3 linked regions of the Callithrix jacchus genome follow. Each later gene encodes a partner of the first gene's protein in a complex. Links are inferred from orthologs where the notes say so. Each region holds a gene or a part of one and is shown on either strand. Other genes may lie near its edges. The genes, in order: AURKA, TPX2 and TACC3.

Region 1 (3,648 bases):
AGGAAATGGAATTTGCCTGGACAATAAATGAAAACTCACAGTAGCAGTTCTCTGCTCATCAAACTTTGAAAGTTTCTGAAGCTCTCTATAGACTGTTCCAAGTGGTGCATATTCCAGAATTAAGTAGACTCTGGTGGCATCATGGAAATAACCATACAGTCTGAGAATGTTAGGATGCCTGCAATGAAAGATAAACACTCTAACACTTGGTTTGGAGCTGACAAGAATATGAACAAATGCTTCATGAAAAACTAGTCGTGTTTCACATGAAACCCCCCCCCACACCCCACTTAAGAAACAAACTATAAACCCACTCCAAGAAGTATATATATACCCACATATCATTTTACATGCATTTCAAAGTATTAATGGACCTCTAGCTTAATTAAGACTATTTCCTTCCTTTAGACATATTTACTCTTAGGAGGAAAATTCAGCTGAATATTAATTATCTACATATTAAAAGAAAGACATGGCATTGCCACAGTAGTTTGCTACCCAGACACTGTGACAGATAAAAGCAGTGATTAGTAATGGCGGGAGGTGGGTGCTGAGCAGACTGGGCAGGTGCAGACTGTAGACAGCAGGAAGCAGCCAATGGGAAGCACAACCCGTGTGAGATGCCCACCCCTCCCAGCCCCAGCCAGGTGTTGCCAGGTAGAGACACACCAGGTCTGATGTGGTCAGACTTGAAGTATTAGCATCTGATTCAAATGTGAAAAACACTGAAAGCAAAAAGAAAAAACGGAAAACAAAAAACTCGCCAGCGCTAGTCAACTTGCAGGTAGCTGCTCACAACTCCTGCCTACCTCAGAATATGGGGTATCACTCCCCTTCATTATCCAGCAAAAAGACTTGCCCATATAAATTATTTCATTAACAAAACATTAAATCCTCAAGTGATTTTTCAGGATCAGAGCACTTAAGTGTAGATACATCTTTGAAAAATGACAAATTTAATCATTCTTTGTGGTACTATGAAAAGCAGGCCCTCTAAAAGATAAATTTATACTTTTTTTTTTTTTAAAGAAAAGGAATACAATTTTATTTTAACCTGCAGAGCATGGGAGAATCGCAGGAGAATGATTACTCAATAACCCAGTGTGGTACAGAAGCTTATCTTTCTCATAGGGTAGGGGGAGGTGAGGAAAAGGCCATGTGTTTGAAGGCAGTGCATCATAAGAGGGAGTGAATGGAGCTGGGAAGAGGCTGGCATTACAGGAGGGGGAGGGGCACAGCATCTGTGAATATTCTTTCAAACATGAACCTGAAAACTCACCGAAGGTGGGACTGTATTTCCACTTCTCTTCTGAGCTGATGCTCCACTCCTGCTTTCTCCAGCTGAGCCTTAAATAACACTTTAAGAGCCAGAATAAACTTGCTTTGTTTTTCTCTTGCCAAATAAACATTACCAAACTTTCCTTTACCCAGAGGGCGGCCGATTTCAAAGTCTTCCAAAGACCATTGCCTCCTAGGAAGGAATTTGAACCTTTTAGATTATAAAAACAAACCTTTGCTAACAAATTTTCAGTGAGCACTAGACACATTCTATAAGCAATTTAAGATTCCAACTTGTACTCAGTATTTATCCTTAGCAAGAACCAAGGCAATAACCACTATCAAAAAGTTGCCGCAACATGAAACCCTGACTTCCCCAGCTGCTATTAGGTATGTGAGTCAGACCTGAATCACTCTATGGGAAATGTCCCAAGGCCACGCTATACTCAGAGGAACAGGCCCATGACAACACTGAAGACCATAAAAAGGTTAAGTGACCAGACAGGGAGGAATGCTTCCAGAGCATCGGGGTGCCTCTTTCAAACTAACCACAGCCACCGCCTCCAGTCCCAGAGCTGTTAACACTCTCTGGGTGGAGAACCACTCTGGTGGTAGACATAGAGCTATTGTTACCAACAGAAGCAGGATGGAGCCCACAGGCTACAGGGGCATGAGAACCAATGGATTTAGTCTCAGCCTCTGTTAGGCCGCTAAAAGCAAAACTGTCTGTGGGTTCATTCCTCGCTCCTCCCCCACATTCCAGAGTCCGGACAGTTCAGAAGTTGAGAGGAGACTTTTAGAAAAGACCTGGGGAAGATATTACAGCCAACCTTTATAAAAAAAAATGCTATAATATAATACGGTCAAAACCCTCAGTCATATATGAGTATATAATTCTGCAACATATTCTATTTTTTTAAACTTGTACTTTTATACAATAAAAAAGTACAGACACATATATAAACCATACGCAGTGGTTACTTCTAAGGACAGAGGAACTTCCACACATTTCTGTAACAGATTCTCATACAAGCTTTTTCTAAATTTGAAAGCAATTTTTTAAAGCACTTCTGAGTCCCTAGTAAAATACCTAAATACACAAAATTCCATTTTTAAGATTGGAAATCTAGAAACATTTATATCCTCTAAATGAAAATAAAGGCCTCATTTTTTTGCCAAGAGTTCTTACAACTAAATTTGCAATGAAATAGTATATTCTAGTAGAATAGGACAGAACTTTGTAAATAAGAAAGCTTACTTTTTCGATTCTTCATTTTTCTGTTTTGATGCCAGTTCTTCCTCAGGATTATTTTCTATGTGGAATAAGTTAAAAACCTATTTTTAGAATAACTATATAGGATAAGTTGTGAATAGAGGTGAATTAAATTGGTCACCAAAATATTAATAGTATGTCAAGAATAAACCTGTTGTTTTGTTTTCCTTATAGAAAAAAGGTCTCCTACATACACCCTGACTTCTATCATGTGAAGTCTTTATAGAATTTCTAAAGATGAACAGACATATATATATATATATATATAGACAGGCCCTTCTCTGATGAATTAAAGGCAAACTGTGCAGGTTCTTCTGAAGCCTCGTTTCCAAATGAAGAGCTTTTCCGGCAGAATTGCCAATCTTCCCATGCATGACAAGTTGCCACCTCGTCACCTTTTTTCCCTTACTAGGTAGTCCAGCCAACTGTCCATACCCCACACACAAATTATCACCAACATGTAGCAAAACATAGGCCAGCCACCCTCCATTATATTAATAAGTTGCCAAGGGGAAATATAAAAATAAATGCTACAAATTCAGCAAAATGCACAATGAAAAGTTTGCAACAGAGGACTGGGGTAACTATTTCATTTGCCACAAGAACATACAGGACATTTCCACTTGTCTGTCTCCAACATCTCAAACTCTAACAGCACATGATAGTCTTGCTCAGGTATTTGGATATAAGTGCAAACTCTTCCTCCATGTGCCCATCACATGTGCACCCCTCCAGCCCCCAGCTCACTAACTTAGTTAATATCAATCCCAACTCCTTTTCACTCATCTTACAGGTGCAATGTATTGCCCACTTCTATTGAGTCTGCATCTTAAGTGAGCTCTCAAATTTGTCTGCACCTCTCCATCCTGGCTATCTCTTTGGATCAGTTAACTGCTTCTGAGTCTTAGCTTCCTCCTCTGTAAAACTGAGTTAATAACTGGCTACCTTCATGAAGCAGTTACAAGGACTGAATGAGATGAGGTAGATGAAGCACGCCCTTGAGTTCCGGGAATGAACACTCAACAGTTGGTAAATAATAGTGTCCACTCCGCTCCATACAGAGCAGGTCATTGCCATGTCTGACCTCAGCCTCCTTC
Region 2 (3,648 bases), about 45 Mb from region 1:
GAATCAAATGTTTTATATCTAAAGTTTGCTTCAGAGTGAATTCCAGAAAGCCATACAGGCTCTCCCTTCCTCATTTACTTGTTTCTCCATGGGTGGGGAAAGCCTATCATTATTGTTGAAATACCAGCTGCTTCTACTAAGGTTCATCTTAAATGAATCTGGCACATCCTGGAACTCAACATAGCTGCTGGGTTCAATAAAGGCAAAAGACTGGGTCTAGGGGAAGAAAAGCTACCATCTGCTAAAGTCAAATGCTTCTAGTTGACACAGCATTGTGCTGACACACTGAGTCCCAGCATCCCACTGGGAAGTCCGACAATTCTCCCCCAGTCCCACCAGAGTACATATAATACTACCAGCAACTGATTTCTTCTCTTTCTTGGGAACAAAGGGCTCCTGAGAGATGACGGTGTTAGGACGAGCCTTGAAGCAAGCTGCTTCTTTCTGCTGTTTCAGTTCTTCTTCCAGCTATTAGAGAGAAAGTCTGTCAGATGAGCGATGCCACAACTTTACATGACTACTACCTCAATAACTTAAGTTCTAATGTCTGAACTGTTTCATCAATAAAAATAGCAGGTTTAATATAAAACTTAGTAAAATATCTCTCATGCAAACTTTATAATGAACAGATTAGTCTGACAACATTTGAACTGAGAACTAGAAAGTGTTATTATTTTTTGAAACACAGTTTCACCATGTTAGCCAGGATGGTCTCGATCTCTTGACCTCGTGATCCACCCACCTCAGCCCTGCCAAGTGTTGGGATTACAGGCGTGAGCCACCATGCCCAGCCAAGAACTAGGAAGTATTTTTAAGATACTTTTAAGATTCCCAACACAAAGAAATGATAAAAGTTTGAGATCATGTATATGTTAATTACCCTGATCAGATCACTATACTCTATATGTATTGAAATATCACTAGGTACCCCAAGAATATGTACAATTATTATTTGTAAATTAAAAAAACAAAAAGTTGGTTTTTCAGTTTTTTTCCGAGAAGGAGTCTTGCTCAGTTGTCCAGACTGGAGTGCAATGGCACGGTCTTGGCTCACTGCAACCTCTGCCTCCCAGGTTCAAGTGATTCTCCTGCCTCAGCCTCCCAAGTAGCTGGGACCACAGGCATGCGCCACCATGCCCAGCTAATTTTTGTATTTTTAGTAGAGACGGGGTTTCACCATGTTGACCAGGATGGTCTCGATCTCTTGACCTCGTGATCCACCCGTCTCCAGGCGTGAGCCACCAATTCAGTTTATTTAACAAATAAAATGCAGAGAGACTTGGCACAGTGGCTCACAAGATTTTTCAGGTTTTGATCATTAAAGAACCAGGTGATGGGTTCATGAAAATTAATTATACTATTCTACTTTTACATGTGTCTGAAAAACTTCTCAAAACAATTGTTTTTGTTGTTATTTGCAGAAAATGCCCTACACAGACATTCTGTGCCTTAATCATTGAGAAGGGGAAATTCACTATTTCCAAGTCAACAGTCCTAAGGTTTCCTAGAGAACCACACCAACAAGGGACCAACGTTCAGTCATGTAAGTCATTACATCTCTCAGGCTTCAAGAGGGGTAATTCCTTAAAAAAAAAAAAAAAAAAAAAAAAATAGCCTAGAGCTCCTTTTGGAAACAGTCCAAGATTAATGATGACATAAAAATCCCAATAAATTTAGAAATTCAGGGAAACTTTTTTCCAGCCTGGTAGAATTAGATCCCAATTAAATCAGCAAATAATCAATTAATTGTTTTAAATCACCTGTCACTTATAAAGAGCAAATAGCACATCATGCTGAGAAAATAGCATTCTATATTAACAATCTATTTTCCCATACTGTTTCTTACCAATGCATCAACAGAAAGGAATAAACACAATGAATGAGTCTAACAGATGGAATAGATAAGATCTTAAAGAGACTCCTGACTCCAGAAAAGCCTGTCCATTCCCACAACCCCCCATTAATCACTTGGAGCAGGGGACATTCCCCAGGTGATCACTTAGAGCAGGGGTCAGCAAACTCTGGCCCACAGGCTAAATCCAGCTTGCAACCTGTTTTAGTACAGCCCCTGACCTAAAAATGGTTTTTACATTTTTAAAGAATTGACTGGGCACAGTGGCTCATGCTTGTAATCCCAGCACTTTAGGAGGCCGAGGCCAGTGGATCACTTGAGATCAGGAGTTTGAGACCAGCCTGGCCAACATGGCAAAGCCCTATCTCTACTAAAAATACAAAAATTAGCCAGGCGTGGTAGTGTACACCTGTAATCCCAGCTACTCAGGAGGCTGAGATGGGAGAATCACCTGAACCTGGGAGACGGAGGTTGCAGTGAGCTGAGATCACACCACTGCATTCCAGCCTGGGTGAGAGAGTGAGACTCTGTCTCAAAAATAAAAAGTAGTTGAAAACATGTGTGTGTGCAAACACACACACAGACATGCACGCGCACACACACACTATGTGACAGAGACCATATGTAACTCACTAAACCTAAAATATTTCTTATCTGGCCCCTTTACAGAAATAATGTGTTGGCCCCTGATTTACAGTGAGAGCCCCTGAAACAATCTAGTATATTAACTCAGATGATTTCAGTGTAGTGGGTCTGCCTGTCCAACCAACCAACTAAGAAATTAACATTTTGGGTGCTCTCCCCATCCCCTACCTGGTGCTTCCAAATCTGTGCCTTCAAAGCACCTCTTTTGTCAGTCTCCAAGCAGAAAGGTTCAATCTGGGTCACATTCTTTACCTTCTTCTCTGGCAGGTTAATGGTGTCAAAATGAGGCAAGGGAAGTGCCTTGAACTTGGGTATCTAACAGAAAAAACAACCCATGAGACTAAAGATAAAGACTAGCTGGAAAGCAGTAGCTACTCCAGAATATTTGGATGAATCTGAAAAATAAGAAAGGACAATCAGTTTTCAAAGTAGCATTCTCTAGCAGAAAAGAATAATGGGTTCAAAAGGAAATCAAGGCTTTTCTCCTAATATTGCCTGTAACTGGCAGTGTGATCAGAGGCAAGTCACTTAACCTCCTTGTGCCAGAAGGATTAAATTACTTGTTCTTGTAAAGATCAAAAGAAGTCAGTGATTTTGTAGTTAAAAATACTATAGAAAAGACGATCTTTGAGGGATCAAAGAATAGTATTCTACTACTTGCAGAAATGGAAACACCTACCTCTCCTTTCTGCAGTTCTTTTATTTTCTTCTCCTTCTGCAACTGACGTTCTTTGTCTCGAGAATCAAAGGAGAAAGGGCATATTTCCACGGTTCTTGCCTCTGGGATTGGGGGCTTAAAAGGCACCCCAAAATATGGCACAGGTTGAGCTTTTATCACTACTGGTTCATCCTCTTCCTAAGGAAAAAACTGCAGTTTAGAAATAAGGTTCCTCACTCTCTTCTACTTCCCCAGAATGTGGACTCAGAAGACATCATATTAATATGTGGCATTAATTAAAACAAGTCACTCAGCCTTTTAGGTGTCTTAGCTTCCTTTTCTATCAAGAGAGCTGATGACTTAGGTAAGTCATCTACCACCTCACAGGGGTGAAACCAAGAGAAAGCATCTGGTAAATGATTAACACAATTACTCTGAAAAGATCTAGTTTTCCACAGGAATGTTGTAAAAACCAAATAAGATCTAACACTAT
Region 3 (3,648 bases), on another chromosome or scaffold:
ACTCTGGTAAGCCACCCAGCAGCTGAGAGGCAAGCAGAGTTCCCGTGACCAGTGACTCCACTTCTAGCTACCCATCCAGGAGAAACGGAAGTACGCGTCCACACAGAACTTACACCTGAACATTCATGGCAGTGCTACTCTTGACAGCTAAGAGGCAGAAACCACCAAACCCATGAATGAATGAATAAAGACAGGAAGTCTGCAGCCACAGCAAGGACGTGAGCACCAATACCTGCTCCAGCAAGGCCGGGTCATGAAAACACACTGCCCGGAGGGTGAGGCCGGACAGGGAAGGCCACGCTGTGTGATTCCAGGGATCCCACGCGAGGGCGACAGGCCCAACCCAGCCGAGCCAACATCCCTACACGTTACTTCAGTTTTCTGCGTGCCTGGGCTTTTCTTTTTGAGACGGAGTCTTGCTCTGTGGCCAGGCTGGAGTGCAGTGGTATGATCTCGGTCACTGCAACCTCCACCTCCCGGGTTCAAGCGACTCTCCTGCCTCAGCCTCCTGAGTAGCTGGGACTACAGGTGCACACCACCACACCCAGCTAATTTTTGTGTTTTTTTTTCCTTTTTTTAAAACACTCCACTGTCAATATTAGATCAGTTTTTGCGTTTTTAGTAGAGACAGAGTTTCATCATGTTGGCCAGGATGGTCTTGATCTGTTGACCTTGTGATCCGCCCACCTCGGTCTCCCAAAGTGTTGGGATTACAGGCGTGAGCCACCGTGCCTGGCATGCGTGCCTGGGTTTTAGGCTCTCCAATTGAGATTTTATTTATTGATTGATTTTTGAGATGGAGTCTTGCTCTGTGGCTAGGCTGGAGTGCAGTGGCACGATCTCGGATCATTGCAACCTCTGACTCCCTGGTTCAAGCTTGCCTCAGTCTCCCAAGTAGCTGGGATTACAGGCACACGCCATAATCCCCCAGCTAATGTTTGTATTTTTAGTAGAGATGGAGTTTCACCATCTCTTTGGGAGGCTGAGGTGGGTGTGGTGGCTCATGCTTGCAATCCCAGCACTTTGGGAGGCCATGGTGGGTGGATCCCTTGAGGCCAGGAGTCTGAGACCAGCCTGGCCGACATAGTGAAACCCTCTCTTTACTAAAAATACAAAAATTAGCTGGATGTGGTGGTACGTGCCTGTAATTCCAGCTACTCAGGAGGCTGAGCAGGAGAATCTCTTGAACCTGGGAAGTGGAGGTTGCAGTGAACTGAGATTTCACCACTGCACTCCAGCCTGGGTGACAGAGGAACACTGTCTCAAAATAAATAAATAAATAAAATAAAACAATTTAAAAAAGGCTTTTGTTTCCGGCAGTATGTCTGATGATCAGGAGGCCCAGGTGCTGATTCTGCATCTGTATCTCACCCGTGCACTGCCTTGTTCACACTTTCTGCTCCTTTTCCTGAGTCCACAATTTCCATTCCTAGAAGTCTCTTATGTTAAAGGCATCAGCCCTGTTCTAATGGTGCCTAACTTTTGAGAAACCAAAACTTTGTGCTTGAGTCATTCAAAGTCGGGGACACCTGCCTGCGGAATGACCACCTGCTGACACAGGCGACTCAATGTACGTGCGGCTGTGCCAGGCAACATACCCTCAGCGGGGTCTCTGAAGTGCTCCTCTCTCAGCTCCAAGGCAGGCTGCCCCTGCTGATGGGTGGGCACTGGCTCACTGTCCGGACAGCCCATGGGAAGCGAGGTGCTAGCAGAGTCTGAGGCTCTCTCCTAGAGGAAAGGTGAGAGTCACCCTGTGCAGTGCAGTCAAGGTACCGGAGGTGGGGCTCTGTCTCTCCTACAAGCTTGTGGAAGTAGACCTGTGGGCCAGGGCAGCGGGACATCCCGCCCACCACCCAAGATTGCTGGGGCCTTCCACTGCTTGCTGCTCTTCCCCAGAAGCAGGCCAGGCGCACAGGCACCCACACAGGCACCCTTACCTTGCTCTCTGCTCCTGGGGTCTCAGCTGCCAACTGCACCACAGGTGTGTCCTCTGCTAAGGCTGAAAGCAGCTGCCTGGGGAGACAGTTGGCAGAGGCCTGTCCCCCCCACCACATAAACCCGGGTATCCCCTACACCTGCCTTCCCCTGCACTGTTGTGCCGGTCATGGGAACACTCAGCTAGAGTGCATCAGGCAGGGGCTTCCCCAGGGGACCTGGCCACAAAGCTGCCTCACCACCCTTTTCCCAGCAGGCAAACACACACCTGCCAGCTCTGGGAGAAGCAGGCAGGGAACTCTAAAGTTAGCGCAACGCAGCCAGAGGGAACCACAGGAAGAGCCCATCCCTTTTACTCTGAAACTGACGGAGGCTTCGGGTGGGGAGGCTGGGGCAGGACGACCCCGCACTGAGTAACTCTTCGGCCAGGAGGCAGCAGACCTGAGGCCAAGACCCCAGTGAACAGGGGACGCCATCCCAGGCGGTAACAGGCTCTGCCCGGCTGTTGGAATGACGCACCCAAGTCAAGTTCATTGGAGGAGGGTCCTGCCTGGGGTTGGTGCATTTGGCTTCTGGCCTGAGCCCACCCTTATCGGATCCCTCCTTAGGCCAGGAGCGCTAAAGACTCATGGAAGCCAAGGCAAGGCCGAGCACCCTCAGCAGGGCCCCGGCAGCTGTGCCCCTCAGCTTAGATGCACCTGAGCCCTGTTTTTGCCCAGAGGCCCCTCCTCAGGGTGAGCCCACCCAGCCTCAAAGGAGTCGCTGATGATGCCTCTGGCCTGAGGTTGGGGACCACAAACAGGGCAGGGCAGCTGCCCCTGCCATGCTCCCCAGCCTATCCCACACTCACTGGCTCAGATGGGAGCCCAGCTCCTCCATGGGACTCCGTGGTTCAGCTGCCGGCTGGCCCAGCCTGGTCTTGGGGCTTTCTGGAGGCTGGGCCTCTCTGCAACTAGACTTCGTGCTACCTCCGAACGGGGTGAAGTTTGGGTACTCCAGCTTGTCCCAGTCGAGGTGAAAAGAGCCCTGAGAAGCCAGCGCGGGGGTGGTGCCATCGGAGAAATCAAATTCAAGTTTTATGGGTTCAGTCCTTGAGGAGCTGACCATCTGACCCGAAGCCGCTTCCTCCAGAGGACTCAGGGTTGGGGCTGTGCTCTCAGGAGCAGAGGTGTGCGCACAGGTAAGGGTCTGCGTGCCATCTGCTGGCATGGGGGTACCCACACTCACGGGGCAGGCCAGGGCCTCGCCAGGCAGACCCACAAGGGGCGCTCCTCCGACTGCTTCCTCAGAGTTCACACCAGGAGGCCAAGTGGCCACTGCTGTGGGCACAGAGACCCCGCCAGGCCTGCATTCCTGCTCGGCTCTGTGCAGAGGCTCCACTCTGTGTTGGGACTCTGTCCTGGGATGGTCTCCTAGGGGCTCAGAGGTGGGTGTCGTTCCCTTGTCTAAGGAATAAGAACGAACATTTTCCTCCAAGGCTTGCTCAGGGCTGCCAGACAGTTTTCCTGGAGACACCATTTGGTTTTCAGAACTTCCTGGGTTCTGGGGAGAGCTTGAGCAGTCCAGGTCAGCCAGGGCGCCCGGGCCAGGTTCACCGGAGCTGCCATCCCCAAAGGCTGGGCCTGCATCCCCCAGGGGTTTGGTGTCAGCCTCCACTGGTTTCTGGATAATTCCATGAGTAGTTTTGGCATCCACTGCCTTAATGAGCTGTTG

What was found.
Region 2: the proteins of AURKA (region 1) and TPX2 are in contact, whole or in part, in a crystal structure (PDB 3HA6), measured with the Homo sapiens proteins. The link is inferred for Callithrix jacchus from reciprocal best matches to the Homo sapiens genes AURKA and TPX2. Residues at the interface, in NP_001310232.1 of Homo sapiens: Lys125, Arg126, Gln127, Trp128, Asp132, Glu152, Gln154, Ser155, Phe157, Leu159, Lys166, Glu170, Gly173, Glu175, Leu178, Arg179, Val182, Glu183, Ile184, Ser186, His187, Leu188, Arg189, Tyr197, Gly198, Tyr199, His201, Val206, Tyr246, Ser249; in NP_036244.2 of Homo sapiens: Gln3, Lys5, Ser6, Ser7, Tyr8, Ser9, Tyr10, Asp11, Ala12, Pro13, Ser14, Asp15, Phe16, Ile17, Phe19, Ser20, Ile31, Asp32, Trp34, Phe35, Glu36, Lys38, Ala39.
Region 3: the proteins of AURKA (region 1) and TACC3 are in contact, whole or in part, in a crystal structure (PDB 5ODT), measured with the Homo sapiens proteins. The link is inferred for Callithrix jacchus from reciprocal best matches to the Homo sapiens genes AURKA and TACC3. Residues at the interface, in NP_001310232.1 of Homo sapiens: Leu130, Phe133, Glu134, Ile135, Gly136, Arg137, Tyr148, Leu149, Ala150, Arg151, Ile158, Val163, Arg205, Tyr207; in NP_001428248.1 of Homo sapiens: Glu523, Ser524, Phe525, Arg526, Pro528, Val531, Leu532, Gly533.

What each region holds. Positions count from the first base shown.
Region 1 is NC_133506.1:52,033,193-52,036,840, forward strand, and holds part of AURKA (aurora kinase A), read right to left. Parts: intron 2,592-3,648; coding exon 2,537-2,591; intron 1,472-2,536; coding exon 1,280-1,471; intron 179-1,279; coding exon 40-178; intron 1-39. UniProt on the Homo sapiens protein: Mitotic serine/threonine kinase that contributes to the regulation of cell cycle progression.
Region 2 is NC_133506.1:7,401,906-7,405,553, forward strand, and holds part of TPX2 (targeting protein for Xklp2), read right to left. Parts: intron 3,354-3,648; coding exon 3,177-3,353; intron 2,813-3,176; coding exon 2,666-2,812; intron 469-2,665; coding exon 357-468; intron 1-356. UniProt on the Homo sapiens protein: Spindle assembly factor required for normal assembly of mitotic spindles. Required for normal assembly of microtubules during apoptosis. Required for chromatin and/or kinetochore dependent microtubule nucleation.
Region 3 is NC_133504.1:191,415,676-191,419,323, forward strand, and holds part of TACC3 (transforming acidic coiled-coil-containing protein 3), read right to left. Parts: coding exon 2,786-3,648; intron 2,014-2,785; coding exon 1,938-2,013; intron 1,729-1,937; coding exon 1,599-1,728; intron 1-1,598. UniProt on the Homo sapiens protein: Plays a role in the microtubule-dependent coupling of the nucleus and the centrosome. Involved in the processes that regulate centrosome-mediated interkinetic nuclear migration (INM) of neural progenitors.